Linked DNA regions of Alligator mississippiensis. The protein of the gene in region 2 binds, or shares a complex with, the protein of the main gene of each other region. Links are inferred from orthologs where the notes say so. Each region holds a gene or a part of one and is shown on either strand. Other genes may lie near its edges. The genes, in order: AP1S1, AP1G1 and AP1M1.

The links.
Region 1: the proteins of AP1G1 (region 2) and AP1S1 are in contact, whole or in part, in a crystal structure (PDB 1W63), measured with the Mus musculus proteins. The link is inferred for Alligator mississippiensis from reciprocal best matches to the Homo sapiens genes AP1G1 and AP1S1. Residues at the interface, in NP_001288140.1 of Mus musculus: Leu7, Arg8, Ile11, Arg12, Arg15, Leu54, Tyr55, His57, Met58, Gly60, Tyr61, Lys78, Phe79, Thr80, Arg83, Ile84, Leu87, Met90, Leu91, Asp94, Glu95, Thr115, Phe117, Leu123, Cys124, Gly127, Cys128, Tyr152, Lys155, Lys156; in NP_031483.1 of Mus musculus: Met1, Leu14, Arg15, Leu16, Gln17, Lys18, Trp19, Leu21, Ala22, Thr23, Asp25, Arg28, Lys29, Arg42, Lys45, Met46, Cys47, Ser48, Phe49, Glu51, Lys56, Gln74, Asp75, Asn76, Glu77, Leu78, Ile79, Leu81, Glu82, Leu83.
Region 3: the proteins of AP1G1 (region 2) and AP1M1 are in contact, whole or in part, in a cryo-EM structure (PDB 7R4H), measured with the Mus musculus proteins. The link is inferred for Alligator mississippiensis from reciprocal best matches to the Homo sapiens genes AP1G1 and AP1M1. Residues at the interface, in NP_001288140.1 of Mus musculus: Arg24, Glu25, Gln28, Lys29, Ala32, Arg35, Ser36, Arg39, Glu40, His64, Phe65, Gln67, Leu68, Gln97, Val99; in NP_031482.1 of Mus musculus: Ser289, Asn318, Asp319, Ala320, Asp321, Ser322, Trp334, Pro336, Glu337, Asn338, Ser339, Gly361, Leu362, Pro363, Ser364, Val365, Glu366, Ala367, Glu368.

The regions. Positions count from the first base shown.
Region 1 is NC_081838.1:23,553,048-23,562,628, forward strand, and holds AP1S1 (AP-1 complex subunit sigma-1A), read right to left. Parts: upstream 3,606-9,581; 5' UTR 3,576-3,605; coding exon 3,501-3,575; intron 2,993-3,500; coding exon 2,814-2,992; intron 2,399-2,813; coding exon 2,290-2,398; intron 1,874-2,289; coding exon 1,736-1,873; intron 585-1,735; coding exon 537-584; 3' UTR 216-536; downstream 1-215. Other genes in the region: SERPINE1 (plasminogen activator inhibitor 1), read right to left, coding at 4,695-4,732, 4,850-4,933, 5,033-5,119, 5,195-5,295, 5,511-5,709, 5,958-6,155, 6,390-6,584, 7,036-7,360. UniProt on the Homo sapiens protein: Subunit of clathrin-associated adaptor protein complex 1 that plays a role in protein sorting in the late-Golgi/trans-Golgi network (TGN) and/or endosomes.
Region 2 is NC_081833.1:77,567,366-77,577,238, reverse strand, and holds the start of AP1G1 (AP-1 complex subunit gamma-1), read right to left. Parts: upstream 4,055-9,873; 5' UTR 3,937-4,054; intron 3,850-3,936; exon of another isoform or gene 3,746-3,849; intron 1-3,745. Other genes in the region: ATXN1L (ataxin-1-like), read left to right, coding at 4,671-6,797. UniProt on the Homo sapiens protein: Subunit of clathrin-associated adaptor protein complex 1 that plays a role in protein sorting in the late-Golgi/trans-Golgi network (TGN) and/or endosomes.
Region 3 is NC_081839.1:224,903-233,995, reverse strand, and holds the start of AP1M1 (AP-1 complex subunit mu-1), read right to left. Parts: upstream 4,041-9,093; 5' UTR 3,976-4,040; coding exon 3,934-3,975; intron 3,009-3,933; exon of another isoform or gene 2,845-3,008; coding exon 2,688-2,844; exon of another isoform or gene 2,306-2,687; coding exon 2,238-2,305; exon of another isoform or gene 2,151-2,237; intron 1-2,150. Other genes in the region: protein FAM32A, read right to left, coding at 5,052-5,120, 6,897-6,950, 7,213-7,351, 7,442-7,518. UniProt on the Homo sapiens protein: Subunit of clathrin-associated adaptor protein complex 1 that plays a role in protein sorting in the trans-Golgi network (TGN) and endosomes.

The DNA.
Region 1 (9,581 bases), on a different chromosome or scaffold from region 2:
AGGAGCTAGCAGAGGCATGGGAATTGGCAGAGGGAATTGGGGCTGATGACTAGGGGAAAACTGAGGCAGAAGTGGAGGCTTCAGGATGAAGCTCTAGGGGGGTTGGACATCCACCTCCCTGCAAACCCCACCTCAAATATGGGGCCTGACCCTGGCAGAGGGACACAGATGCCTCCCCACCCCACCCCGCCCCAAAGTCACAAGCATGGCAGGGCTCTGCGCACACACTTTATTCCAAAGGGGGGCGTTACAGGGAAGAGGGGGGTTTACACGCACGTGCCGCTGCACACGTGTGCTTAGAGCCTGCCCAGTGCTGGGTGTGGGGGGGCAGATTAGGGTGCCCCCTCAACACCTGTGTACACAGTCCATGCAGGGGGAGGTCCCCCCACACTATTCCCAGGGTCTTCAGGCCCGTGCAAGTGGAGGGGGGGCACAAGATTGTGTCCCTCTCCCAATGCCCCCCACAAGAGTTCCCAGAGACCTCGTTGAAGCCGGGGCAGGAGGGTCGACTGGGCTCCCCTGGACCCTCAAGGGTGCTACGCCAGCCCCATCTCCTCCAGCACGCTGCGTGGAGATTCATCCTCCTGGGGGGGGGGGGAAGGAACACGGGCTCAGTGTACATGTGTGTGCCATGCCCCCCCCCCCCCAGCTTTGGCATGTGCAGACGTATCTGCACGTGCACCAGAGTTGTGTGTATCCCCCCCACGCACATGTCATGCCCCCTCCCCGCATAAGAAGCCTGCGAAAGGGAAGCAGGAGGTTGCCAGTGCCCCCCACCCAGCCAACAGTGATGCATGCTGGGAAGGGGGTGGTGGTGTGGGGGGGAATTAACCCTTCAGGTGCCTTATTCCCCGCAGCACTGGGTCCTGGGGGAGCCCCCCCATGTGAGGTGTTAACCCTTGGGGCACTGCCCTCCCCAGGCCTAAACCCCTGTATTGCCGAGTGGAGGGGAGACTCAGCTGGAGAAGGGGGGGTGGGGGGGTATTAACCTATTCAGCACCAACCCAATGGGGTGAGACAGGATGGGGGCGTTAACCCCTACAGCACCAGGCCAGAGGGGTGGTGTGGGGCTGGGAGGAGGGGTCCGTCAGGAAGCAGCATTCTCTCTGCCCTCCCCCCCCAACTTTGAGAGCAGCTCAGCCAGTCGCCCCCGCAGAGCATGCTGCATCGTGCTGCAGAGCCGGTGACTCATGCCCTGCGCCAGCCGCCAGGAGCCCGCACTGTGCGGGGGGGGGGGGCTCCCCTCCCCCGGCACTGCGACATGGCCGGGATACTGGGGGGGATGGACCCCAACAAACCCTTGCACCCTGGGAAGGGGCAATGGGAGAGCCTGGGGGGAAGCATTGGTGGGCCAGGGGGCCCTGCTCTCAGCCTATCCCTGGGCTGCACCTAATGGGGAGGCCGGGGGGGGGGTATCTCACCTCCTACAACAGGTGGCCTAGAGGGGCTCACCTGCAGCAGGTACAGCCTGGGGGACAGGAGGCGGGGCTTGGCAGCAGGCCTGACTTGGGGAGTGGGTGGGGGGTCACCACATATAGCAAGTCAGCCTGAGGTACTCAGCTAATGGAGCAGGTCAGCCCGGGGTGAGGGGTGCTGCACATGCAGCAGGCCAGAGGGGGCGAGGCCTCGCTGGGGGTCTCACCGCCTGCAGTAAGTTAACTTGGGGGCGGGGCATGGCCAGAGGGGGCGGAGCTACACATTGCAGGGCAGTGGCAGGACCTGGCCGGGGCCTCACCTCCTGCAGCAGGTCAGCCTGCTCTATGGCCTTGAGGACACTCTTCTTGGAGGTGTCCTGGATCTCGCCCCCCATGAGGAACTCATCCAGGATGAAATAGGCCTTCTCGAAGTTGAAGATAATGTCCAACTCGCACACCTGCCGGTGGGGGGGGGGCAGGGTCAGGCCAGTGGGGACCCAGGCATCTGGGCTGCCAACCTCTCAGCCCCCTTCCCTCCCACAGAACCCAGGTGTCCGGGGCCCAGCTCCCGCTGCTGTCACCCCACTTCCCTCCTAGAGATCCCAGGTGTCTGGCCCCTGCCCCCCCCCGGAGAACCACGGCATCCTGCAGAGGACTGACCGGGCAGAGCTTGGGCTGCATTAGCTGGCTCAGCCCCAAGGCCTCGTTAATCCCAATTAGATATGGGCTGAGCCAGGGATTAAGTAGGCCGAGTTAATGAGCTGCCGGGTATGAGCTCCACTAAATCCACCCCCACCCCCCTGGACGCCTGGGTTCGCACTGGGGTCACAAGCTCATCCTGACCCCCCTGACTCCTGACCCCTGTCTGACTCACGCTGCCGAAGTATTTGTCCAGCAGCTCCACGTAGCGGTGGATCAGCTCCAGCGTCAGCAGCTCATTGTCCGGCCCCTCGATGGCGCAACAGAAGTACAGGCTGGCGTACCTGGGTGGACACGGGTCAGTGGCGCGGCCAGATGCCTGGTCCCCCCTACCTGGAGCTGGGTCTCCAGGATGCCTGTGTCCCCCCTGCCCCCGCTGCAGCTCCCAGACTCCTGGGTCCCCCCCTGCCTGCGCTGGGTCTCCGGGATGCCTAGGCTGCCCGCCCCCCAGGCTGGGTTGGAGGGGGTCTGGATCACGCTAGGGGCAGGGCCTCTAGGACACCCGAGTTCCCACCTGCCTGCGCCAGGTCTCCTGGGCACCTGGGTCCCCTCCTGCTTGGCAGGGTCTCCCAGATGCCCCCCTGCCCAAGCTGGGCCTCCCGGATGCCTGGCTCCCCATTGCCCCGGCCGTGGCTCCCGGACACCTGGGTTGCCCCGCTGCCTGGCTGGGCCCCCTGGCTGCCCGGCCCCCGGGCTCACCGTTTGTAGACGACCTTGAGGTCGCGCCACTCGAGGAAGCTGCACATCTTGGGCTTGCGTGCCAGCACCACCTGCATGAGCTCACGCACCATCTTGCGCCGCTCGCGCTCGCCGGCCGCCACGCACCACTTCTGCAGCCGCAGCTTTCCCTGCCGGCTGAACAGCAGCATGAACCGCATCTGGGGGCAGAGGTCGCGGGGGTCACGGGCAGGGTCTCCCCACGCCCTGGGGGCTAAACAGCAGCATGAACTGCCTCTGGGGCGGGTCATGGGGGTCGCAGCTGGGCAGGGAATGGGATCACCGGGGGGCAGGGGTCATGGGGGCGACTGGGCTCGCCTTGGGCCCCCGACACAGAGTGGGGGGCCGGACGCCTGGGGCCTCTGGGGTGGGGCGGGGGCCGGGCTGCTCCAGACACACGTAGACGGAGGCCCGGGAGGGTCAAAGTCCCCTCCGCGCAGGCTGGGGCGGCAACGCCCAGGGACAAAGGTCCCCCCCGGGCGGCGGCTGCCAGCCCCCACGAAAAGACCCCAGGCGTCCGCCCCCCCCCGGACACGCACACACACGCACGCACATCCGGGTTACCAGCCCCCCGCTACCCCCCACAGAAAGCCCAAGCGTCAACCCCCTCCCCGCGAGCCCAGGCGTCCGGGCCCCCCCGCCACGTGCCGCAGGCCCCGCCCCTCTCACCATGGCTCCGCCCCGCCCGTCGCGGCCGCGGGCGCCGGTGCCGGTTGCTCGCCCGGGCCCGGCTCCCCCGCGCATGCGCCGCCGCTTCCGGGTTCGGGGGGGGCGGCGCCATGGCAACGGGGGCATGGGGCGGGGCGGGGCCGGTCTCCTTAGCAACGGGCGGGGAGGGGCGTGGCCTCCCCAGAGCAAAGGACGGGAGCGCCGTGTCCATGGCAACGGGGTGTGTGTGTGTGTGTGTGTGTGTGTGTGTGTGTGTGTGTGTGTGTGTGTGTGTGTGGGGAGCGGTTCTCCATGGTAACCGAGGCAATCAGGGGGTTGTTTCCATGGTAACAGGGTGGGGGTGAGTAAAAGTGATTTGTTTCCGTGGCAACGGGAAAGGCCTTCTCTATGGCAACAGGGTGCTTATCTCCATGGCAACAAGGGGGGCACACCGCTGGGGGGCCACAAGGCACTTCCGCCCCGACCCCGTGACCCCAACCCCTACGACCCCCGACCCAGCAACGCCCAGTCCCTTGCCCCCAGCCCCCCGTGGCCCCCAAACTCCCAGCTCCCCTGACCCTAAGCCCTGCCTCCCAAACCCCACGAACCCAAACCCCTGCCCCCCCCAGTCCCAAAGCCCCTGCCCCCCCAGCCCCGGGATCCCCCAAACCCTCTGACCCCCCAATCTCGTGACCCCCAACACCCCATTTCCAAGACCAGCACTGACAGTAATGACCCCTTAATAATGAATTCTCTTTATTCATTAAATATTCTCAAATGCCCCCAAAAAGGGGCAGCAAAGCCCCCACAGGCCCAGCTTCGGGGCCCTATAAATACACGCAATCCCAGCCCTGATTCAGGGGCGGGGGGCTGGGTCCAGTCCCACCAGGACCACTGACTCAGCATCTCCTGCGGCCAAGGGGGAGGCCCTGGCAGTGGTAAGGGGGACAGGACAGCCCGACCCAGCCTCCCAGTGCTGCTAGAAATATCCCACACCCAAAGCCTCGGCAGCAGGGCCTGCCGACTCTTCGCTGACTCTTGCTGAACTCAAGCTGAGACACTAGATGCTGCTGAAAGTTCCTGTAGGCCTCTGGGAGCACCCCGGACCCATGGAGACCAGAGGTATCGATCCTGGTGGTGGGGGGGCTTAACCCCCCAAGTTATCCAGGGGGTCCAGTCCATTATGGGGGGGCATAAAAGACCCCCCCAAAAAACTCAGGGGTCTATGACCTGCCCCACAAAGAGGACAGCACCTGCAGGGAGAGGAAGGCAGAGTCAGGGGGGTTATTGTAGCTGTGCCCTCCCAGCATTTAGGGGGGTCCCCGGGGGGCAGGGGTGTCACCCAGACGCCTGGGTCCCACGGGCCGTACCAGTGGGATTGTGCCGCAGGATGAAGAGGAAGGGCCGATCCAGGGCAAGCTCCGGCGGTGCCATGCGGGCCACGAACACGGCGGCTGGGGGGAGATAGGGGTCAGAGGGGCCGGGTTGGGGAGGGGAGACCCCCATCTCCCCCCACTAACAACCCAGGTGTCCAGGTTCCCCCGTGCTCTTACCCGTGCCAGCGGCCGCCTGGGTGCCACCCTCCATGACCTCAAACTTGACCTTGTGCAGAGCCTGGGACACGAACAGCGGCTCATCGACTGCAGAAGAGAGTTGGGGGGTCAGATCAGGGAGGGGACAGGGGTTGCGGGTTGGGGGGGTCAGGGGTCACTCACGGGTCAGGCCGGAGAGGTCGGCAGCATGGGGGTTAAAGACGTCACGAATGCCCAGAGCGCGCAAGGGGGTGCGCAGGTCACACTCGGCCTCCAGCGAGAATCTGTGGGGGGGAGAGTGATCAGGGAACCCAGGGGTGTGGGATCCAGCCCCCTCCCCTCCTAGGGAACCCAGGAGCCTGGGTCTCAGACCCCCTGCTCCCACCCCCTACTGTGCTCCCCTACAGAGAAGCCAGGCATCCGGGCTCCCCTACTGTCACCCGACAGCCCTCTCCCACCCCAGAGAACCCAGGCATCCAGGCCCCTGAACCCCCCAGACCTGGGCAGCAGCAGCAGGCGGGGCCGGGGGCTCAGGCCCCGGGTCCAGGCACGGATCAGGGAGGCACTGAGGGTGCGGGCAAGTGGTGCCAGGGGGGCGTCGCGGACCAGGGGCACCGCCAGGAGCAGGCTCAGCCCCCCCCTGGCGTAGGGTAGCTCCACCACTTCGTACTCCAGCCCCTCAGCAGTCGTAAACTCCCCTGCGAAGGAGCAGGGGTCAAGGGGAGGGAACCCAGGCATCCAGGACCCCCCCCACATAGGGAGGAAACCCAGGTGTCTGGGACACCCCCCCCCCCAAAAAAAAGAGCCAAGGGCTCCTAGTCCCCCTCCCCCCCACATAGGGAGAGAACCCTGGTTTCTGGGACCCCCCCAGAAGAAGAGCCCAGGCATCCTCACCCCCCTCCCTCACAGAGAACCCAGGTGTCTGGTAGGGGGGAAGTGTACTCACCATGGAGGAAGCGCCCCGCCTGCGCCATGGTGGGCACGAGTGTGGGGGGACGGTGTGGCACATGGAAGGGGCGGGGCCGCGTGGCACGGGGGTCAAAGGGCCGGGCCCAGGCACTGCTCACGTGGACAGTGTTGGCCAGCACCAGGCGCGCAGCCCCCCCCGCCAGCACCCCCGCGCCCACCAGCTCCCCGATCCGGCCTGTGGGCACACAGTGTCAGTGGGACTCGGGTGTCTGGGAACCCCCACCCAGGGGACCCAGGCATCCAGGACCCAAGAGAACCCTGGTGTCCGGGCTGCAACCCATGGCCCCCACCCAAAAGGAACTCAGGTGTCCAGGACCCTCCCAATCCAGGGGACCCAGGCATCCACCCCTGCCCCCACCCAGGAGACCTAGGTATCCACCCCCCACCAGGTCCCAGGCATGCAGCTCACCATGGGTGTGGGTGCGGGCCCAGGCATTGATGGCGCGCCGGGCACTTGCGGGGTGGCGGAAGTCGACGCGCTGTAGCAGGGGTGCGAGGACAGTGGTGCTAGGCACCAGCGGTAGGTCATGCTGCACAAAGATGCCGGCAGCCAGTGCCACCCCTGCGCCCCCCAGTGCCACCTCCAGCTGCCCCGCACCCGGCTCTGCAGAGAGGGAGAGAGATTAGTGGCGGCTGGCTCTGGGGGGATGGGGGCTTAAGGCTATGTAAAACGGGCAGGATGCAGCTGGCTCTGGGGTGGGACACTGGCTGGTTATCACAGGACACCCCCCTATGCAGTTGGCTGTAGGGTGAAGCATCAGGGGCTAGCTAGAACAGGGCAGGGATGCACCTGGCTCTGGGGTGGACGTTGATGTCTTGGTATAACAGGGCTCTCCAGTGCAGCTGACTCTGGGGTGGGGCATCAGGGGCTGGGTAAAATAGAGCCTGGATGCAGCGCCAACGCCAGTGATAATGAAGCTGGGATGTGGCTGGCTCTGGAGTGGGCCATCAAGGCCTGGGTAGAACAGGTTCTAGATGCGGCTGGCTCTGGGGTGGGCCCTGGGACAGATAACTGGGCTCTGTGGGGAGCTCAGGCCGGGGGTAACAACTCATACCATGAGGGGCATATCCAGCGGCAGTGCGGAGCTGGGCCTGGCCTGGCCCACGGGCCACGAGCTGCAGGGCACGCAGGAGGGTGGCGGCACCAGTGGGCGACAGTGCCGCATTGCCAGGGGCTGCAGCTACCACGGCCTGGAACAGCCGCAAGCCCAGCGCCGTGTCCAGCGCCGCCACGTGGGCCACGTCCAGTGCTGTGTCCGGCACAGGGGCCACATCTGGCTTGGGGGCCGCATCCAGCGCCAGGACCAGAGGGTCTGCGGGCCCTGGGGCACCCACCAGTGCCAGTGCCCCCCAAACCAGAGCCCACAGGCTGCACTGCATCCTGGGGAAGAGAGAAGCCAGTGGGACCCAGGTGTCTGGGAGGTCAGACCCACCCCAGAGCACAGAGAACCCAGGCATCCGGGCCCCAGCCCCCTTGTCCCCCCCAGATGACCCAGGCACTGCGCCCCAGCCCCCTTGTCCCCCCCAGATGACCCAGGCACTGCGCCCCAGCCCCCTTGTCCCCCCCAGATGACCCAGGCGCCGCGCCTCAGCCCCCTTGTCCCCCCCAGATGACCCAGGCATCCGGGCCCCAGCCCCCTTGTCCCCCCCAGATGACCCAGGCGCCGGGCCCCAGGCCCCTCACTTGTCACGTGGAGTCGGAGTGGGTCCGGGATCGGGATCGGGATCGCGCTCTCCGCCGCCGCTGCCTTTATGGCCCGCGGGCAGGAAGCGGCTCCAGACACCGCCGCCCCCGCCCGCCCCGCCCGCCCCGCCCGGGTTCCGTGGACGGGGGGTCGGGGGCCCCGGAGTTCCCTGTAGGGGCGGTCGCGGCCGCCTGGGCACCGGTGTAGGGAGGTCCCGGTCCGGACGCAGGGCTCTGCGGCGGGGTCCAGGACGCCTGGGTTGCCCCCTGGGAGAAGGGGATTAGCGGGCGGGGGGGCGGGAGTCTCTTCCCCCCGGGCAGGGAACCCAGGCGTCCGGGCGGGGCCTCGGCCCCAAATAGCGCCCGGGGTTTCCCCCGCCCCCCCGCGGGCCCATGACGTCACGGAGGGGGGAGCGGGGTCGGGGGGAAGAACCCAGGCGTCCTGCCCCCCCGCCCCCCCGCAGTGGCCGGGACCTGGGGGGCGCTGACTCACGGCCCCGCCCCCATGACGGATCCCCCCGGCATGCGCCCCCGCCCCCGCGGGGATCCCAGGCGTCCGGGCCGAGGGGGCGGATTCCAGCCCCGCAGTGGGACGGGCCCGGCTTCCGGGCAGGATCGGGACCTGCGCCCAGACACCGGGACGGCTCGTCACCGTTACGCGGCCGCGGCCACACACACACACACACACACACACACACACGTGTGTGTCTGTCTGTGTGACGGGAAGCCGGGGAGACAGCGCAGAGACTCGCGGCGGGGCCGGGCGGGGGAAGCGGAGTGAGGTTACTAGGGACACACACACACACACACACACACACACACACACACACGAGACCCAGGTGTCCTGGTTCCCCCCACCCTGGCGCACGTGTGTGCCCACGTGTGCCCCCCCCCACGTGTCTGCCACAGAGGAGGCAGTCCCGGATGCCTGGGTCTCTGCCGGGGGGGGTGAGTCAGCGGCGCCTGCACATCCCGGCCTGGGCGGGGGCTTCCCCTCCTGGTGCTGGGGGTCTGGGTGGACCCGCGGGCTGGGGGGGGACATGCTGCTCTCCGTGCTCCCCCTCCCCCGCCACGGCCGGACACACACACACACACACACACGCTCTCTGCACATGGATCCACAGACGAACACACTCCGCCTGCCACGAACACACACGCATGCCCCCCCCCCCCCCCCCCCCCCCCCAGTCCGGGCTGCAGTGGCCAAGTCCCGCCAGCAGGAGCCGCTCCGCTCCGCTCCGCCCACGTGGGGGTGGGTGGAGGGGGGCGGGGCACGGCAGTATTATGCAAATAAAGAGAGAGAGATGCATGGGTGGACGGGTGTAAGTTAAGTAGGTCGATGTGTAGGGATAGGTAGATAGGTATATAGATGTAGAGGTAGGTAGGTAAGTAGCTGGCTGGCTGGATGGGCAGATGGATGGATCAGTGGTTGAGCAGATGGATACATGGATGGACAGGTAGAGAGACGGATGGATGGATCAATAGATGGATGGTGGATGGACACATGGGCACGTGGGGGTGGATGAGCAGTCAGGAAGGCAGGCGGATGGAAGGGGGCACAGGTAGATGGATGCATGGATTGGTGGGTGAACAGAGGGATGGACGGAGGGAGGTAAGGACAGGTGGGTGGGTGGGTGAGGCACACCGGGATGAAGGAATAACCCACCAGGCAGACAGATGGGTGGAGAGAGGCACAGAGAGATGGGGCAGGGCTGGATGGATGAATACAGGCCATGAGGAGATGCCCATAGGGACAAGGGATGGATGGGTGGATGGACGGGTGGGCGGAGCGATGGATGGATGGACGGATGGACAGATGGAGGAGGTGTACAGGGATGGATAGAGATGCACAGGGTCATGTCCAGTCCAGCCTTCCCCCGGTGCAGGATCAGCCCCATCCAACCCCCACAGACCAGA
Region 2 (9,873 bases):
GGAAGGGACAGAGGTTTTGTCACTAAAAAGTCTTTAATAAGAGTTACTCTAATGTTGCAAACACTAAGAACATGAACAGTCGCACTGAAGTCAGTGGACTTGTTAATAGGTATAAAGCTACATATCAGTTTAAGTGTTTAGAGGATTGGGGCTTAGTTTTTAGAGCTTTTGAAGAGGGGCAGAGGTTGGGGTTTTTTTGTTTTTGTTCTTTGCATATAGCAATTTGGTCAGATTCAAGCACATTACTCTATTAGTACAGGCATCTCCTGAAGAAAGCCTCTATGATTTAGTCCATTATAGATTTTAGATTAAAAAAAAAAATCTAAAGATCAATTATCTCACCATGATTTAAATCAGTGATGAATTTTAAAAGTCAAGTGATGTAAATCACCCCACTCAGATCTACATACAACACACTGCACTCCTCACACCAAGAAGAATCAGGCCAGAGCCAGCTCAAAGCCAATGCTAGAACTCCCCAATTTGCTTCAATGGCAGAGGATCAAGCCCTTTGTGGGTTAAAGGAAAGGGCCATGTGGAATATGGCTAGACTGAAGTAAGAGAGCACAGACAGTTTTCTTCCTAAATGCTACTGAAAAATTCAAATGGGCTTGAACAGCAGCAGTAACACATGGATCCAGACAGGGCAAGAACATAATTGTGAACAGAAGCATATCAGGTCCCGAGGACAGCCCACTGGAGCGCTTCAGACACCAGCGTTTCACTTCATTTTCCATAACATTCATCCCCAAAGGGTAAACCACAAACAAAGGTGGGAGGCCATGCAGAATGGCAAATTAAATAAGAAGGGACTGAGAAGTAAGAAAAGTTATCAGAAACAACAGCATGAAATTCAACCTGGAAACAGAGAAGCTAGTCTCCCTTGGGAAAGGTAAAAAAAAATATTTAAATTGAATGGTGAAGTGGTAACAGCAAGAGACCAGAGAGATAGAAAAGAAACAGGAGTTTGAAAGCAATATGGAAATAAAAAGGGTCAATATTGCTTTGGGCTACACAAAGGTATCGGACAGGAAGAGAGTTTAAATATCAAGACAGCATTCTTGCAAGCCAGGCCTTTAACACCCTCACAAAGGAAGCAGCACTCTTCTCCAGCAGCATTAAAAAAAATTGAAGCAGCAAGAGTCTTCTGAAGATAAAACAATTCCAGGTGGCCCAAAAGTGGAGGGGGGGAACCAATATTGTTCTCTATGATCTTTACTGTGCATAAGGCTCAAGTGTCTGCATCAGGACAGGTTGGCTGAACAAGTGAATATTACCCCTTTAGAAGCTAAGCAATGGAGAGCGGAGGGAGATCACCAAGGCCACACCATAAATCAGTGAGACAGGCAGGATTACAACGCCAGAGTACCCACACCTCAGTCACCACAACCATGCTGCCCTTTACTGTTCTCCTCTGTTCCTGCTAATACGATCAACACTCAGCTCTGGTTTCCGATATACAGATGCATCTTTTCAGCTCCAGAGCAGACCCCAGAACCTCTGGGCTGCTGCTCTAGCCCAGCAGAGAAGAACCCTTTTTCAAGGCCAGATGGAAACCCTGGGGCTCACGGTGCACTGCTTAGGCAGCATCACTGCATGCTGTCAGGTGACCTCAGCCAAAGCCCAGGAAGCATGACCTTCAGAGCAGATGTAGCCTTCAACTTCCCCAGTCCATTCAACTTGTGGCCTCTGCCAAACTACAAGCATGGAGCCAATTACTGCCACCTGTAACACAAGGAGGGGCCCACAAGCAACTCAAGCACAACTGTCTGGCACATTCATCAGGTGACCATGACTCTTCACCACTTACCAGCCTCAGCTTGATTTGCTACATGTCCTGCAATTACCAGCACCAAGAATCCTAATCCAATAATGTAGCTGCCGACACAACAGTAGAGCAGACACTTTGCCCTAGAAAGCATCAGAGAAAGATCTAAAATAGGCCACTCCAAACAAGTTTGCCTATTCCTAGCACGGTAAGAAACCGAAGGTCAGTTTCAGGCTATGGAAATCACCAAAACCTCAGAGAGGGCTTAAACAGCCACTCTCAAAGGGAACGTAAGTTTTCCTTGCTAAGTGCCAAAAATGTGTTAAGAAGCTTCTACCACTTAAGGTCCAGAGTGACTTTCCAAATCTAAAACATGAAGAATCAGTGCAGCACCTGCCTAAGTCTGCTACCATCTCTAGGGCCCGGCTGCTCTCCCGAGCTTTGCCAAGGAGTCGTGTGAAAAGTTCCCAGCCTCCCTCGCTGTCTGTGATGTTATGCAGGACCCTGTGCAGGGCGCTCTCCAAAATCAGACTGCCTTCTCTTGCCGTTTGGCTGGCGTAGGCAGAAAGGCAACACTGGCTTTGTTCACTGGAGCAGAAAACCCTCCAAACCAAGAGGAGTTCAGAACAAGGACAGGCTAGCAGAGAAGTCATTCCCACAGCAGCCACCAGCCTCTTGTTAGGGCCAGAGCAAAGTGCTCATTTTCTCCCTTGTACATCCTAGGATGAGGTCTCAAACCTACCAGATACCTAGCAGGAGGAATATACATGTGAGATCCAGGAATCACACCCATGTAGGAAGGTGAACTCCCAGCCTAAAGGAGAAGCAGAGGGGGTCCATGCTGCTCATACTTGGGAGAGCAAAACTTCTCACCTCAGTTGAACTCTCAGGTGTCTGGTAAAGTGAATCCCCCACAGAGAGCAGATGCAAGCAGATAACGAGAAGCGAGACAGGCAGAGAGAGAGAGAGAGAGAAAGACCGTGCACACAACAGGGGGAAAGGAACAGGCCCTGAAAACAGATAAAATAAGCTTCCAGTGTAGCAAGAGAAAACAGATGCTGAAGCCAGGGAAACCAAGTGTGAAACACACCACAGCCAAAAAAGAAAGCAAGTTATTTTGCAGCAATATATTAAATAGAAAAGTGAAATCTGTAACTGCTCTACTGCTGTGAGCTGCAGTGCTGGGGCCCGGGGCGCCACGGAGGAAGAGGCACCGCCAAGTCGGGGAGTAAGCAAAGAAGCATACACCCCAAGTCGCCAGCACCCCCGGGAGACCCGTTTCCACACCGCTGCCTCGCGCGTCGCACAACGGCTACAACCAGCGCCGCCACGTCGGAGCCGGTCTCCAGGAAAAACACGCTCGCTGCCGGCGGCGAAGAGGCTTTTCCCCTGCCAGTGAACGCAAGCCGAAACAGGAAGCGGCAGTCGCTGTAACGCGCGCGGAGCTGGACAAGCTCGAGGGGACGGTGCCACCATCCCAGGATCCCTCGCCGCGGCCGGCCAACGCGACACGAGCGGCCCCACGGCTTCGCCCCTCGGGACGTGTCGCAGGCGCCCGTCTGCACGCGCAAAATCGCCTGTTCGGGAACAGTCGGCCTGCAGACCGCCGCGCGCGGGCCGGAGCGGGACGCGCACGCCGCATGCGAGCCCCGGGGCGAACGCATGGCCCGCTGCGGCCGGCACCCTCCAGTCCGGAGGGACCCCTGCGAGAAGAAATACCTATCGCCCCCGAGACAGACGTGTAAAACCTTCGTCCGCTTCCTGCTGGTGCCGGGAAAACCTGTCCGGGAGGGGACAGGGAAGGCAGCAGAAGCACACGAGGCGCTGGGAAAGCCGAGGACGGGACGGGGAAGGCGGGCGCGGCTGCCAAGCAGAGCAGGGCCGGCGGGGGCCGCGGCGGGACGGGGCGGGGCAGAAGATCGAGACGGGGCGGGGCGGGGCGAACACCGGGGCTCGGGGCGGGGGGGCCGCACTCACCGGGCCGGGCCGGGCGCCTGCAGCGGACGAGGCGGCGGCAGGGCCAGGCGTTCAAAATGGCGGCGCGGCGGCCTCAGCACCGCTACGGCAGGCGGAGGGATCCGCGCCCTCGGGCGGCGCCCGCTCGGCACCCGCCCCTGCTCGCCCCTGGGGACGCCGCCGCAGCCGCCGCGGCCGCCCCGCGCACTCACCTCGGGCGCGGCGGGCGCGTAGCGCGGGCGAGGGCCGGGCCGGGGACTCCTTTTCCCGGCGGAAGCGCCGCGTTCTCTTGTGCGCGGAGGCTGCGCAGCGCCGTGGCAGGCAGTGATGACGTCAGGCGCTGATGGCCGTGGGTGTCGCGGCTGTACCCGTCCGATCGGGCCCCCCGGCCCCGCGCCAAGGTTCCGCCCGCCAGCCGGCCCCGCCCCTTCCTGTCGCCCGCCGCCCACTTCCGTCGCGCCCCGTGCCTTGCCCGCGGCCTCGGGACAGCCCGTGCGGCGCTGCGGGCCTAGGCCAGGTGGCACGAGCCCAGGGCACCGGCGCTGCGCGGAGCCCGCTCGGGCCGCCGCGCGCTGTGTGATGTGCTCGACAGGCCGGCCCGGGCCCGGGCGGTGCCCGGTAGCCATGGCAACACAGAGCCAAACGTCATTCCCGTGCGCCCCAGCCCCCGCGGGGTGAGGCGCTTCCGGCGCGCGGCCTACACGTCATCGCCGCGCGCCGCGCCGCGGGGAGGGGTCGGGTCGGGTCGGGCCGGGCCGGGCCGGGCCGATGGGGGCCGGGGCGGCGGCGCCGGGCGATGGCGGGTGAGTGGCGGGGAGGGGAGCGGGGTCGGGGCCGGGGCCGGGGGGCTCGGCGGCGGCGGCGCTGACGCTGTCCTCCGCCCTCCCCCCGCAGGTGAGGCGCAGGCGGCGGCGCGGAGCGGCGGGGCCCGCGGGCCGGCGGCAGCATGAGGCCGGCGCACGAGCGGAGCCAGGAGTGCCTGCCCCCCAAGAAGCGCGACCTGCCCGGCGCCGCCAGCCACGACGCGGCGCGCCCGCCCCTCGGCGCCGCCAACCACGCGCCGCCCGGCGACGGCCCCGCCTGGGCCCGGGGCGCGGCCGCGCGCAGCCCCGCGCCGCCCCCGCCGCCCTCGCGCTACGGGCCGGCCGGGGAGGGCGCGGGGCCGGGGCCGGGGGCCGAGGCGGGGCCGCCGCTGGAGCCGTACGGGCTGCTGTACAAGGTGGCCGTGCCGCCCGCCGCCTTCCCGCCGCCCGTGGTGAGCATGAGCCCACTGCCGCCCGCCTTCGGCGTGGCCTCGTCGCTGCTGCCGCACGCAGGCGTGCCCTACCCGCCGCTGCACTACGCCCAGCTGCCGCCCGCCTCGCTGCAGCTCGTGGGCCCGCACTACACCGTGCCCTACGCCGTGCCGCCCGGCTTCCTGCCCGGCCCCCTGCTCTCGCCCTCCGCCGGCCTGGGCGCCTCGCACGTGCCCCACTTCGTGCCATACACCTCTCTGCTGACCGAGGAAGCCGCCGCTGCCGCCGCCTCCCCTCCGACTACCTCTCCCGCCCACGCCTTCAGCAAGCCTGCCTCTGCCCTCTCCCCCTCCAGCCAGGTCCAGCACCATGCTGGCGCCCAGCCTTTGGACATAGCCCAGGGGAGGCTTCCTGTTTATTACCACATGTCCCGGCTGCCCCCGGGCTTCTCTGCGTACGAGATGTCTGCTGCCGCTGGAAGCCCGGATCCTCCCGCGCAAGAGAATCAGCTGAATTCGGACGCAGCGTCTGCCAATGGCGGGCAGAGACATCTAGAGCATCACGTGGTGCGGAGGACTGGCGAGGCTGTGGACTGTGCCAGCAGCAAAGCCGAAGCCCAGCTGTGTGGGGCGGCCGTGGAGTGCGTGTTGGATGGACAGTTCCTTTCAGGTTACCAGACTCTGAGAGCAGAGGTCTCTGTGCCAGCTCACAGAAGCACCCCGGATACTGACCTGGAGGTACAGAGGGTGGTTGGGGTGTTGGCCTCTCAGGATTACCCGATTCTGGCAGCCCAGAAGAAGGATGGCCTGAGCCCTTTAAACCTTTGCCATAACATCCCTGATCAGCAAGGGGAGTCTGGGGACTTGTGGAGGAGTCCCATGGAGGCGGCTGCTGCTGCTGCAGAGAAGAGCCAGCCCAGGAGCCCATATGCAATGTCCCCCGAGGAGCCAGCCAGATACAGACAGCTAACCAAAGGAATGGCGATAGCCAACGGCAAGCCGGTTTTAGTGCCGGTCGGGTCCGAGCCCATCAGGTCTTCCTCCTCAGAGACCCTGATACGGCAGAGTCCCAACACACTGGCCCGGGGGAACATGCTGGACAAGGATTTGGGCCCGGTGCAGCCCCCCAGCTCCTCCCATCTGCCTTCCCATTTCATGAAAGGAGCCATCATCCAACTGGCCACCGGAGAGCTGAAGCGGGTGGAAGATCTGCAGACCCAGGACTTTGTGCGCAGTGCAGAGGTGAGCGGGGGCCTGAAGATCGACTCCAGCACAGTCGTTGATATCCAGGAGAGCCAATGGCCTGGGTTTGTCATGCTGCATTTTGTAGTGGGGGAGCAGCAGAGCAAAGTGAGCATCGACGTGCCCCCAGAGCACCCCTTCTTCGTGTATGGCCAGGGCTGGTCCTCCTGCAGCCCGGCGCGGACTGCCCAGCTCTTCGCCCTGCCCTGCCACAGGCTGCAGGTGGGGGATGTCTGCATCTCCATCAGCTTGCAGAACATGAATGGCAACTCTGCTTCTCAGGCGACCTGCCCTCCCGCGACCCAGCTTGTGCCTGCCAGGGAGCGAGCTGACAGAATGGTGCAGGGGTCCAGAGAGCACCCCCCTGCACCTCTGCACAGTGAGAGGAAGAGCCAGGCAGAAAGGGACAGCGCTGCCCACGCTGCCTGTGCGGAGCCCTCCCAGCCTGAGCCGGGTGGCCAGCACAGCTGGACAGCCCCCAACTTCCAAAGATGTACCACGCAGGGGGAGGAGCCCCGGCCATCCCTGCTCCGTCCCTCCTTCATCCCCCAGGAAGTGAAGCTGTCCATTGAAGGGCGCTCGAATGCCGGGAAGTAACGCTGCGAGGCCCTCACCTGGGTCATGCCCCTGGCTGAGCCCCCCTTTGTCAGGTGGAGATTTTGCACAGACTGAGCGACGGGTTGACCGGCGAGGCTGCTGTCTGCCTGCAGAGCTGGTTCGGTTCCTGTTCAGTCACTGATCAGATCCTCTCCTGGAATCCAGAGGGCTCCAGTGCCTCAGGGAGCAGCAGCAACAGGCGAGTTAGGGATGGAGGATGGGGGATGTGGTCATGGCTGTGTGGCCACAAGCATTCCAGAGCTCGGGGCTCTCGCACGCCCCTGAGTGCCTGAGCGTCCTGCAGGCCGGGGATGGAGCACTCGGGGGTGGGGGCGGGAGGGGCGGACCCAGGAAGCCACAGCCCAAGGTAGCAGATACAGTATCGGAAGTGTTTGTTCCTCTCTATGGTGGTGGGGAGCTGGGTCCCTGCGGGGGCCAGGGGCACCGCTCCCAGCCTCCCCACTTTTCACACATGCACTTTAAAAGGACACTTCGTCACATGTTGAGCTCTTGGGGTGGGGGCAGGTGTTTCTCCGACAGCCTCTCCCTGACATGTCTCCTCCACTCAGTCCCATGGGACTTTCTGCTAGCAAAACCCCTGCAAGCGTTGAAGGAAACCAGAGAGGGAGGGCCAGGTTGGGGAGTGGGGTGTGGGCAAGTAGGGGCCTCAGGCAGCTGTGCTGTGGCAGGAGGTATTGGTAGTTCCTGTGATAACGCCAAACGCAATTACTTGCCACCGAATCTGAGTCCGATGGTTGTGTTTCCTAGTGGCAGGTGCTATAGCAAAGGAGCCGGCGAGGCTGCATTTCAAACCTCCCTTCGCATGTGCTTGCTTCCAAGGAAAAATCCCTCTGGCTCAGATGTCCCATTCCTGGGCTCAGCTGCAGGCAGGCTTCTGGGCAGCTGGAGCAGCAGCGAGCGTGAGAACCTGTCCTTCCACTGGGGAGCACGAAACTGCAGCCGAGGGAAGTCTGCCCGGTGGCTGCTCGCCCCCTCCAGGCGAAGTCCCCAGAAAAGTTACAGACATGGAAGAGCCACGTCTAGGCCAGGCATTCACTGCCACCAGTCATTCAGGAGTGTTCAGAGTAGCGTTGCCACCCCTTGGGCCATGTCATAGGTGTCTTTGTGCCGGCTGTGCTGGGGCTTCTTCCCTGGGTGCCAGTGCCGAGCCACCCCACAGAATGGAGACCAGTCATGGGGAAGGTGGACATGGGCTGAAGCTGAGGCATCATTCAGGGATAACGCTGTACGGGCAGCACTCAGTCATGCCGGCAGCCTTGCATGGAGCTGCCTCGGATGGCATGGGTGTAGGGGTCAAGAAAGGACAAGACCCAGGCATTGTCTGTGCAGGAGTAGACATTGTGTGGTGTTCAGGTTGTCAGCTGTGTCCAGATCCTGCTGCTGAGGGTGGGTGTCTCTTGGAGGGCACATGCCCTGATCCCCTTGCTGGGATTCTGCTGCTCTCACCCTAGTTCTGTTACCACTCTGTTGTTTTCAACCCTGGGCTTGTCTCCTGCTTGGAGGCACCACCCTGCCTGGGCAGGGCGCTCAGCACCCCCTGAACCTCTGATCTGTCCCATGTTGTTTTGCAACACTGGTTGCAGCTGTTCCTGGGAGCTTGTTAATATTCACTCAAATCCCCCTTGATGTGCCTCAGACTGAGCTGGCCCTGGTGCTTCTACAGTACACGGGAGCCCAGTGCCCAGAGCATGTCCCCTCCCACATGCCTGTCTCCTGCCTCCAGCCCTAGGGCCCCAAAACACTCCTGGACACGGTTTCTGTTGTTTCCAAAGTATCAGCACCCGCCTCTCCCCAGGCGAGCAGTCACATTCCCTGCCGTATTGGTCCTAAAATCAGGAGAGTATCGCAAGCCTTCATGCCTGTGGCCTTGCCCAGGCACAGGTGCTGACTCTGCAGCTTCCCAGGTCAGGCCACCCGTCCTTGTAATCCCATGGTCTAAAGCCTCAGTGACCTTGCCTGAGCTTCCTGTCCCCTGGGCAGCAGCAGCAAAGAGGTAGCCGCCTGCCCTGTACTGCACCATTTGGTCCAGGTGCCCAGCTTGTGCCTAAACATTGTCCCTCCTGTTCTGCTTGCAGCTTGTAGGCCTGCTGTGTCACAGGTAGGCAGTTGGCCTGTGGCTTCCGGCAGTCTAAGGCAGGGGACTAAGCAAGGGAGAATGTAACCATGGCATGGCTGTAGTGGTATGGACAGAGACTTGTGGTTGTGTGCAAGGTGTGAGCACAGGGACTGATTGTGCACAGAGGTGACCCCTCTGAGGGCCTCTGAGCTCAAAATGCCTCTACCCCCCACACTGGTAGTGTGAGGGCCTTGGTGTTGGATGTTGGCCCCTGTCTCCTCTGCTTGGTGCCCCCTGCTCACAGGGCAGGGCTCTGGACAGAGGGGGTGGTGGCCTCTGCACTTCCAGCTGCTAGTGGGTGCAGTTGCCCCTTGCCATCGTGGCCCGCTGCCTGCCCGTGCCTAGGGGGAGGCGCTGCTTAGAACTAGCTGCAGGAAGCTGTAGTGGACGTGACCCTTCTCGCTGCTGCTCTGCTCCCCCAGCCAAGGCCCGTAGCCAGAAGGTGGGTTCCAGCTGCCACCCGTGCATGGCATCAGCACCAGGGCCCCGAGCAGGAAGGACGCTGAGGCCTGGCAAGCAGTGGGATCTCCTCTCCGTGGCTCAGGCCAGGCTGCAAGGCATCCGTGTCACCTTTCTGAGAGAGGGAGCTGGGTGTGGTGTGCGGAGGGCAGGAGTCTGAGGTAGCAAGGGAGAGGCTGTCGAATGGGCTGGCCGCAGCTTGTCCATGGCACTGGCATGCTGAGCTTCCCAGAGCAATAAGTGTTTTTCCTGCTGTTACACTACGGAGGGAAGGGGCAGCTGGCAGCTCATGCCCAGCCCCTGGCTGGTCTCTTCTGCCCGGCGCGTGGGGAGGCAGTGGAAGCTCCGCAGTCTGCAATAACGGGGTCTGCCGCCCTCCTTCCCTTCTCCCAAGACATTCCATGGTCCTTTCCCCACTGGGGCCAGGCCTGCTCCTAGGGCATGCAGGCCCGTCACTGAGCACAGGGCAAGGTCCAAGCG
Region 3 (9,093 bases), on a different chromosome or scaffold from region 2:
ATTTATGCGTTTCAGAAATCTTCAGTAAACCAATGCCGCCGGAACAATGATACAATTACACCACAAAAGCCCTTTTTTCAACCTGCCCACTGAGGAGGAGTGCTTTCCCCAATTCACAGCAACTCTTTTATAGTAGTTGGAATGCTCCAGACTGAATGATGTGCATATTTATTAGTAATAAGAATGCGCCTCCATGCATTTGACTTGGCTAATTAGTTTAACAATCCCTGAAAACTGAAGTGAACCATAACACGCAAGATAGATGCCTAGCTACAAAGGAAAACATTCTTCTTCCAGGAAACATGCCTTTCACCAAGAACCAGCCAACCAGGCACAGAGACTACATTGTCTCATACAACACTGATGAAGCACAATCAGTATCAGCCTTAGTCCAAAGGGACAGATACCTCAAAGTCACATGCCCAAGGAAGGTCAAAGAAATAAAGCTTACTTTTTTCCAAAACACATTCATAGGAAAATGACAAAATTTCCTCTTTAATAAAGTACAAATCCATCTTCCTTGACTTTCATTCTAAGCATCACATTCTTATTTTGACTCTTTCTACTAGCCTTTACTTGCACATGGCATTGATTTTAAAAGTCTCATCTAGAGGTGCACCAATATATTGGTGCCATATTGGATCAGCACCGATAAAAGGAAAATTAACATTATTGGCTAACGGCTCTTTGTGGCTGGTGCAGCCAATAATGTTAACTGATAAATATAATATGCCTTCTGGCAGGGGCCCTCAGACTCTATGTGCATGCACCTGGCCAGGAATGCAGTTAGTGTGGAAAGCAGCACCCTGCAGTAAGTCTGTGGGGGGGGGGGGGGGGAAGGGGTGTGGGGGAGGAAAGGGGCATGGGGGAAGGCAGACTGGGGCTCCCTCGGTGAGGGAGGGAGTAGGGCAGAGGCTGGAGGGGCTGCCCAGCCAGGATGGTGAATGGGACCCTGGGGCCAGGCCAGGAAGTGTGACAGCTGTGGGCCGCTCATCCAGAGGGTGCGTGGGGGAGGAGGTGGTGGCTCCCCACTGCTGCATGCATGCTCAGGCATGGGAGGGCACATGCTCCTCTGGATTTTTATGTGGGGTGGAGGCGGGCTGCCTGCTATGGACTCAGGGCTCTCTGCCCTGCTGCCTTTGCCCAGGGAGCTGTGCGCTAGCCATATGTCCCTTGCCCATCTCCCAGCAGTGGGGGTGGCAAGTTGTGCCTCCTGCTGCCAGGTGGTCAGGGAACACATGGCCAGTGCACAGCTCCTGGGGCAAAGGCAGCAGGGTAGAAAGCCCTGAGCCCACAGCAGCTAGCCCACCTCCACCCTACTCCTAAAAGCATCCCCACACTTAAAAATGATGGCGGCAGCACTTGAACTAAAGCTCATTTAATGAGCTTTAGTTCAAGCACCCCTGCTGCCATTTTTAGGCACCGAGATGCTCATCCCCTGAATGAGCTGCCTGCAGCTCCATCCTGCTCACTGCCCCAGCCCCAGGGTCCCATTCATTGCCCTGCTTGGGCAGTGTTTCCAGCCCCAGCCTCTACCCTGCTGCCTCCCACACTGTGGGGGTTTTGATCTGCCCCAACCCCTTCCTTCCACCATGTCCCTTTCCCTCCACAGACTTACCTGTCGGGAGCTGCTCTTGACACTGCCCAGCTGTGTTCCTGGAAATCGGTTATTGGATCGGTATCAGCCGATATGCCTCTTGAATAATCCCCTATTGGTACCGGCCAAGAAAGTCTTTATCGGTGCACCCCTAGTCACATCCATATTTTCAAGGCTGACTGCAAGTAATTGTGCAACAATATTCCTGTATCTCCCACTTTTGGTTTCCTCTACAGTAACTGTTATGTTTGTTTCCTTCCCTGTTCCTGCCCCTTATATCCTTTTTCAGCTCACCATGCCACTACATTTTTCTAATCTTTCCAATGCTAGTTGTGCATACAAAGCAGTTGTCCCAAAGATGACCTTTCCTTTTGGGCTTCCTATTTTCCTTTCTGGGTATCTTTTAGATTATATGCTCTTTGAAATGAGGAAGGTATTGATTTTTGTTTTTGTCAAAGCCCTTCTGATGTGCAATAATAAAATATTAGTAGTTAATGCAAAAGGATCACCAAAATATAACCATAGCATAATTAGATGTACTATTTCTACGCAGCAGTAAGAATTCAAAGACCTCTAAAGCTGTAAACAACAATATGACTTCCCTGAAAGAACAATAGTACTTTATCAATTGTGTACTCACTTGAACCACCTTATAGAGGAATGAAAACACCAGAGAGACACAAGCATTCTTCTTAGAAGTTGCAACAACTGAAAAAAGTAAGTTTAGGAATGTTTGTTCAAAGTTCCCATTTTTTTAATTTTATTTTTAAATCCCTTTTCAAAAACGTTTACTAAGGCACTGTAGCTGACCCAAAAACTCAGGAAACCATTCATTAGGTATGCCATTTCATTTCTAAATGCTGAGCTACTGAAAAGCAAAGACAGGTAAGCATTGAGAAAATACTGGTTGCACTGGCACTTAAACATATATATTTTTGGTTCATAGGGTATTTAATGGGAATTTGACCTTAACTGTTTTTTATCTCTGCAAAACCTTCCCCCCCTCTCCCCCGCCATGCTGACTTCCATTGTGAAAATTCACACGGTCAACATTTCCACCCTATTAAGTAGCCTATACTCCAAAGGATACGATATAAATTGTTATGTTTAATCCACATAAAACGAACTCCTCCATGAGCTAGAATGGGGGAAAGTGTTCCTTCTTCTTCCTTTTCCATAAGGATCGGCATAAAATGCTCAACCTCTGACATATCGACATCTCCACGGTAATTTCGACAGATGAGGACCTGCAATGGATGAGTACAATAGAGAACCAAATGGACAACACACCTGAAGTGGTCATCTGAATAACATACATGACCTTTGGAAATGGAGGTCAACTAATTTGAGTGACTAAAATTGATACTTGTATGGTGGAACCACAAACCACTTGGTTATTTAAATTACAAAATGCTTGTGGAAATCTTTTATTTACAACACACTGTATTTGATACCAAGACAAGATTTTTTTCCCATTTAACATGGGGAAAAAAACCCTTATCTTGGGATCAACTATTGTGAGGGGGAGGCATGGAGGGAGAAGAGTAGGCAGCTGCTGTGGCTGCAACCCTGACTGGAGGTTGGGCAGAGCTGCAGCTGCTGTCTTCCCCCCCAATCGCCTTTGCTGTGGCAAGCTGTCCCCACTCCAGTCTGGGACGCCACGCATGGCCACGGCGCTCTTGCCCCAGGATGGAGCAGGGGCAGCCCTCTGGAGCCAGGGTAAGCAGGGAGGGGTGGCCAGAAGGGAGCAAAGACAGGGCCCCAAGGTGGTGGGAAGTGAGGTGGCGTGCCTGTGGGGAGCCTTTCGCCAGAAGGCGACAGGCACAAAGGGATCAGGATGCAGGGGGCTAAGGGTGGTGGGGGTGAACGACCGGCAGCAGGAGGCAAGCTGCTCCAGTCCACCCCCGCTGGCTGCCCCCCCCCCCATCTGCTGCTGCAGCTGGGTGGGTGGGGGAACAAGTTTGGGGCGACTCTCCAATTAGATTGTATACATGGACCGAGAAGTGTTGCACCGACAGAACGGCACTGCTCCGCCGTGAGGAGGGTGTGCGGACGCCTGGCAGCTAGAGACGTGCACAAACCCGCCGTCAGACAGCACAGAGCCTGCGCTGCCGCTCGGCAGAGAAGCGAAACACGCCCCTTGGGACTCAGGGAAGCCTGCGCGCAGCGGAGCGGCTCCCACCGGCCCGTGCTCCTCGGGCAGCGCCGCTGCCAGCCCTCGGGGAGGGGAGGGGAGGGGCGGCCCGAGAGAAGCCGGCCTGTCCTGCGGGCCCCGGGCGGCAGGACATGGGGAGGCGCGGCCGGGCCGCCAGGGAGCCGCCCGCAGCCAGGCCTACCTTCCCCTTCAGGTCCAGCACGTAGACGGCGCTGGCGGACATGCTGCCGGCTCCTGCCCCCCGCGGCCTCGCCCGCGCACTTCCGGCCGGAAGTAGCCCCGCTTCCGCCCCCGCCGGAAGCTGTGAAGCTCGACCCGGCGCGCGGGGCGGGGCCTCGTCCCCTCTTCCGGGGTTGGCGACGCGCGCGCGCCGCCATCGCTGTGAGGTCCTGGGCCGGCCAGCGGGGGCGGTGCCGGTGCCGGGAAGGCTCGGCAAAGAGGCGCCGGGTCAGAGCCTTCCGCTCCGGTGCTCAGTTGTCCCCAGAAAGCCGCGCTGCGTTGTGCTGAGCCGCGGGCGGGCCCTGCCCAGCACAGGCAGCAGACAGCCGAGAGCAGTAACTGAATTCCCACTGCCGCTTCTTCTGTGCCACGTCTTACACGCGCTGTACACGAGCTCGGGGGCCAGCGAGGAAGTCAAAGTGCACAGCAGGATTTGGGGGCTCAGAAAGGGGCACCGTTCACGTGCGAGGGAACAACCCCAACGTGCGTTTACAAGGTGCTCAGAGCTGCATTTATGGTTCCGCTAAAGACGGCAAACACAGGCTAGCAGGTACAGCCTAGCTCAGAGGAAAAGTGCTGTCAAGATCCCCTCCTCATCCCCTACACCAGGTACATTTTTTAAAAATTATTTTAAATGCAGTTTTTATTTGACCTTCTAGAGTTTCTAGAAAAGTTATAAACAGATTACAGGTTTATAGTACCCAGGGAGGAACAATTCAATAAGGTAACTTGTCTGCATCTAAAAAAAGACTGTCAAAAACATTTGTTTCAAAAGAAGGCACTGTCAACCAGTGATCGTTACACCCTACATATGAAATTTCTCCAGAAGTTTTCCTACAAACTCTAAAAAAGGGGACTTCTGCAGATAAATGGAGGATTAGGGCCTTTATTCATTGTTCAGTAAAGGTGGGGGTGTGCTGTACATATTTCTAAACAAGCACTTAAAGAGTACTGCCAGCATGCAAAAGTTTTTTAAAAAATGAATTAGGTATCCAATGCAGAGATCACAGAAATTTACGCTAGGCAAATCCTCCCAATATAAATGCTTCTCATAATCCAGAACCGAGTAAGAAAAGCTATTCATTTAGTCCAGCTGACTTTGGGGATGTCATAGTGTTCAGTCAGAGTATCCAAGTGTCTGTTAAAATCCTAGGAGAGAAAAAAAAAGTGTGTGTCAACTTTCTGGAATATTGAACATGCTTTCTGCCTACTTTAAATTTAGTAATTCCAGATTAAATGAGTTGAAAATTTAGGTCAGTATCCCGTTAGTCAGCATCTTGTACCAGGTGCCACCAAGAAAGGTGCCAAAAAGCTGTACAATAGACAGTTATGCAATGGATAGCCCAGTTGGCTTTTGATCTGAATCATGTGGATTTATATCTCTAACATCCTCTCATTATAAAATGATTAATCCATTTTTTGAAACCCACTGAATTCTAGGCTTTAATTGTATCCTGTGGCTGTTAACCATATGGGTTAGTTACCTTTTAGCAGCTTTCAATTGGTAGCCTTTTAAATTTAACTGAATAATTCTGTGTTCTTGTATTTAAAGACAATACACGATACCAATCAAATTTACCTTTCTTAGCCCACCAGTTTGATGTGTTCCTCTATTATCAACTTTTCTTTCTGTAAAGATTATCCTAATCCATCACATTTCATTACATTCATGCCTCAGTTAGTCTGGTACATATTCCAATATCTGATGGCAAGAACTTTTGGTTCCAAGAGCTTTTGGAAAAACCTGGGAAGCCATGGGTTTCCTTCACAGGCTGGCACAGTTCCAGCCTGCAAGGGGCTGTGGGAAGCAAGACACAGGGTGTCACATGCATGTGTGCGCATAGAAATGCATGCATCAGCTAGTCAGTGTGGTAGAGAGCATCTCCCGCCAGGTACGTCTATGGGGACACAGGCAACAGTCGTGGGGGAAATGTACAGGTGATGCAGAGGCGGAGGGACAGGGCTTCAGCTGGGCCAGACCAACTCTGGGCAGAAGGTGCCTCCCTCCACAGCCCAGCAGGCGGGTCCCAGAGCGAGAGGGAGCGATGCAGTCCCATGGCTGCCAAGGTGAGGCACAACAGCAGCAGAGGCAGAGACTTGTGCCCCCTGCTGCTGCTGGGGAGGCAGGGGGCCTCATCTTGGCAGTGAGGTGCTCTCTCCCATGCTGGGTCCCACCTGCCGGGCTGCATAGGTGGCTCCTGCCCAGAGCTGGTATGGTCAGGCTGCAGCCCTGCACTCTATGCCCTGCTGTGGGCACAGAAATTGGGCAGCACATGCCCACACCCCACCACACTGCCTATACCCACTCCCTCCTTATGCACTGGGGGGCTGGGGGCAACAGATCAGGAGTGAGGTGCACCAGCAAGGCCCGGGGACTGTCATCTCAGTGCTACAAAGCAGTGGAGGGGACAGCCACAGCTGGGCCTACATCTTGTGAGCAAAGGGGGCAGGGGGAATTCAGATGTTCCATGATAAAAAAACAAAATCAAATGCTAAAGTATATAGGTATTTAGAATTTATTTTATGACTGAGGCACTGGTAGGCCTCCAAATTGCTTTAAAAAGTAAATATATCAATAAAACATGATGTTGAACTGATACCATATAGATAGTAGCACTTCATTTTAATCACGGAAAAATGCTGACTGCAGGTTACAACTGGAGAACATTGCCTCTTATCAGAGAAACTGATTTTTAAACAGAAAACCAGGATGCCTGCTAATCACCCACCACTGATTCCTGTTAAAAAAGCAAGCAGAGCCCAGAACATGCAAGTTACAGCTTTCATATTACTTATGGCAAGAGATTTTTCCAGACAAACATATTAGAACAATAACTATTTGAATTGCATATCCTGACAGGTGGATAATTTGGACTAGACAGCAAAGGGAACACACACTGTGAACAAGGCTAATCGTATCCTCACCTCAACTCTTTGTTTGTGGGTCTTGGAAGCCTTCTTCAGGATTCTTTCCATTTGCTGAGAAAGTGAAAACAGACACAGGTCGCTGTCATGCTAGCTCCTTTCACCGCAACAAAACACCTCCCTTTTAACCTGCACTTTATCTTTTCGGGGAAGTAACCTGGGTCAGGGCCGCTGCGAGTGCGCAGCTCCGACTCCCGCAGAGCGCGGACTCGTGCGGGCGGGCCGGGGCTCTGCGGACTCGCCCGTCCACCCACCCACCCGACCCGGGCCCCGCCGCTCGGTGCCGGCAGCAGGAGCCGCCCGGCCCGGCCCGTACCCTCTTCTCTTGCATCTTCTCATAGGCGAGCTGCGCGGGCGTGCGCTTGTCCAGGCCGCGCTTCTTTTCCTCCTCCTGCTTCTTGCTGCTCACGGTTTGGTCCCGGATCTTGCTCTTCTCCTTGTCCTTCCTCTTCTTCCTGCGGGGACAGAGCCAGAGCGGCGGCATGAAAAGTAGCGCGGGAAGCCGGGCGCCCCCGCCGCCCTCCCTCGCCGGAGGAGGTGCTTACCGCCGGGCCGCCGCCGGGGCCTCGCCGCTCGCCTTGAGCCGCAGCGAGCCGCGCTGGACGCCCTCGTACTCCGCCATGGCTCCCCCGAGTTCGCGGCACTTCCGGGTTACGGGTGGAGAGCACTTCCGGGCCGCGCCCGCCAGGCGCGTCGGGATAGGCTGCGCTGCGCGGCGGGGCGGGGCGCCATGGCAACCAGCCCAGCCGGAGTGAGGGAGCGCGCGCGCGGCGCCGGCCGGCGGGAAGCCCGCGGCTCCCGGGACCTGCAACAGCCCCGGGCGCGCAGAGCTCCCCGCGGGGACCGTCCTGGGTGCAGTCCCGGAGAGAGGAGGAGCTGTGGGGCACGGCCAGCCCCCACAGACCCCGTCTGGGCCCTCCAGTGCCCGCCCCGGGCAGGCCGACAGCCCACAGCAGCCACCGCCCTGCGGCTGGCTGCAAGGCAGAGTCAGCTGCAGGGATCCCTGAGAGAGGGCCAGGGACACGGCAGAGACCTGGGGGGAAGTCCTTTCTGACCCGCGGAGGGCCAAGACTTTCCGTGAGTCGCAGCCTTGGCTGCAGCGGCTCTCCGCCTCTGAGGGAAAAATTCCCTCCTGGCCCCATATGGGGCCCAGAAAAGCCCTGAAGCCTGGGCAGTCCCCACAGCAGAGCGCAGGCGTGGCACGCACAGGTCCTCTCCGACCATTGCCCATCAGCCTCGCGGACAGGCTCCAGGTTCCCCAGATGTCTGGTCCGCTGCCTCTGTTTTGACACTGAAGACGTTTTTCCTGACATCCCCATCGAACCCTCTGCTGTAACCGACGGGTCTGTGTCCAACTCTGCACCCAGAGCCAGAGGGCATTTCCCTCTTCTAACAAAGGAAAGTTTCCTATATCCCTCCCTCCCTCCCAGTATGTTTTCAGTTTTATACCTGAAAGGCCGAGAGGGATCAGAGTATCAAGATAACGCCTAGTTAACACTGTTAAAACCAACAGTGGGGCAAATTCTTCTCAAAATTATGCCCACCAGATAAATATTATAAATTGTTAAATAACGGGTGTATAATTTACACTTTTCCATTTTAGCAAACATGTCATAAATATATTGAAGACATGATCCTTGGTTTTCATGGGGAAATGAGATAGTTGCATTTATTTTGTTGGTTTAACTTAATTATAAATTAGCAATTATGACTCTGCAACAATTAATTTCAAATGCTCTTTAATGGAGACAATCAAAACTCTAATTACTAGCACATATGGGGTTGATTTTGAGGGGGGGGGGTTGGTTTTGTTTACAGTGGCTTTTAAAAAGAAAAAGACTTTGGACTTTAGGGATGGTCCTGCTTTGAGCAGGGGGTCAGACTAGACGGCCTCCTGACGTGCCTTCCAACCCTAAATTTCTATGATTCAATGATACTGTAATCCTTTGTTAGGGTTCCTGCTGACGCTGACTATTAAAGGAAGGAAGATATTCCTAGTGCTTTTAGCAGTCTGCATTTTTTTCAGCAGAATCACAAACAACAAATCCACATAGTCCCCTATCAATTTCAGAGACAAGGCAAAGAAGCTGTTTTGAGTTTAGCTGTATGGTGTAATATGACTCTGCCAGAGCATACGGAAGGCAGGTGAATGATGCTGGAAGAGAGCCTTATAGTCAGACTAAAGATGCGATGAAAT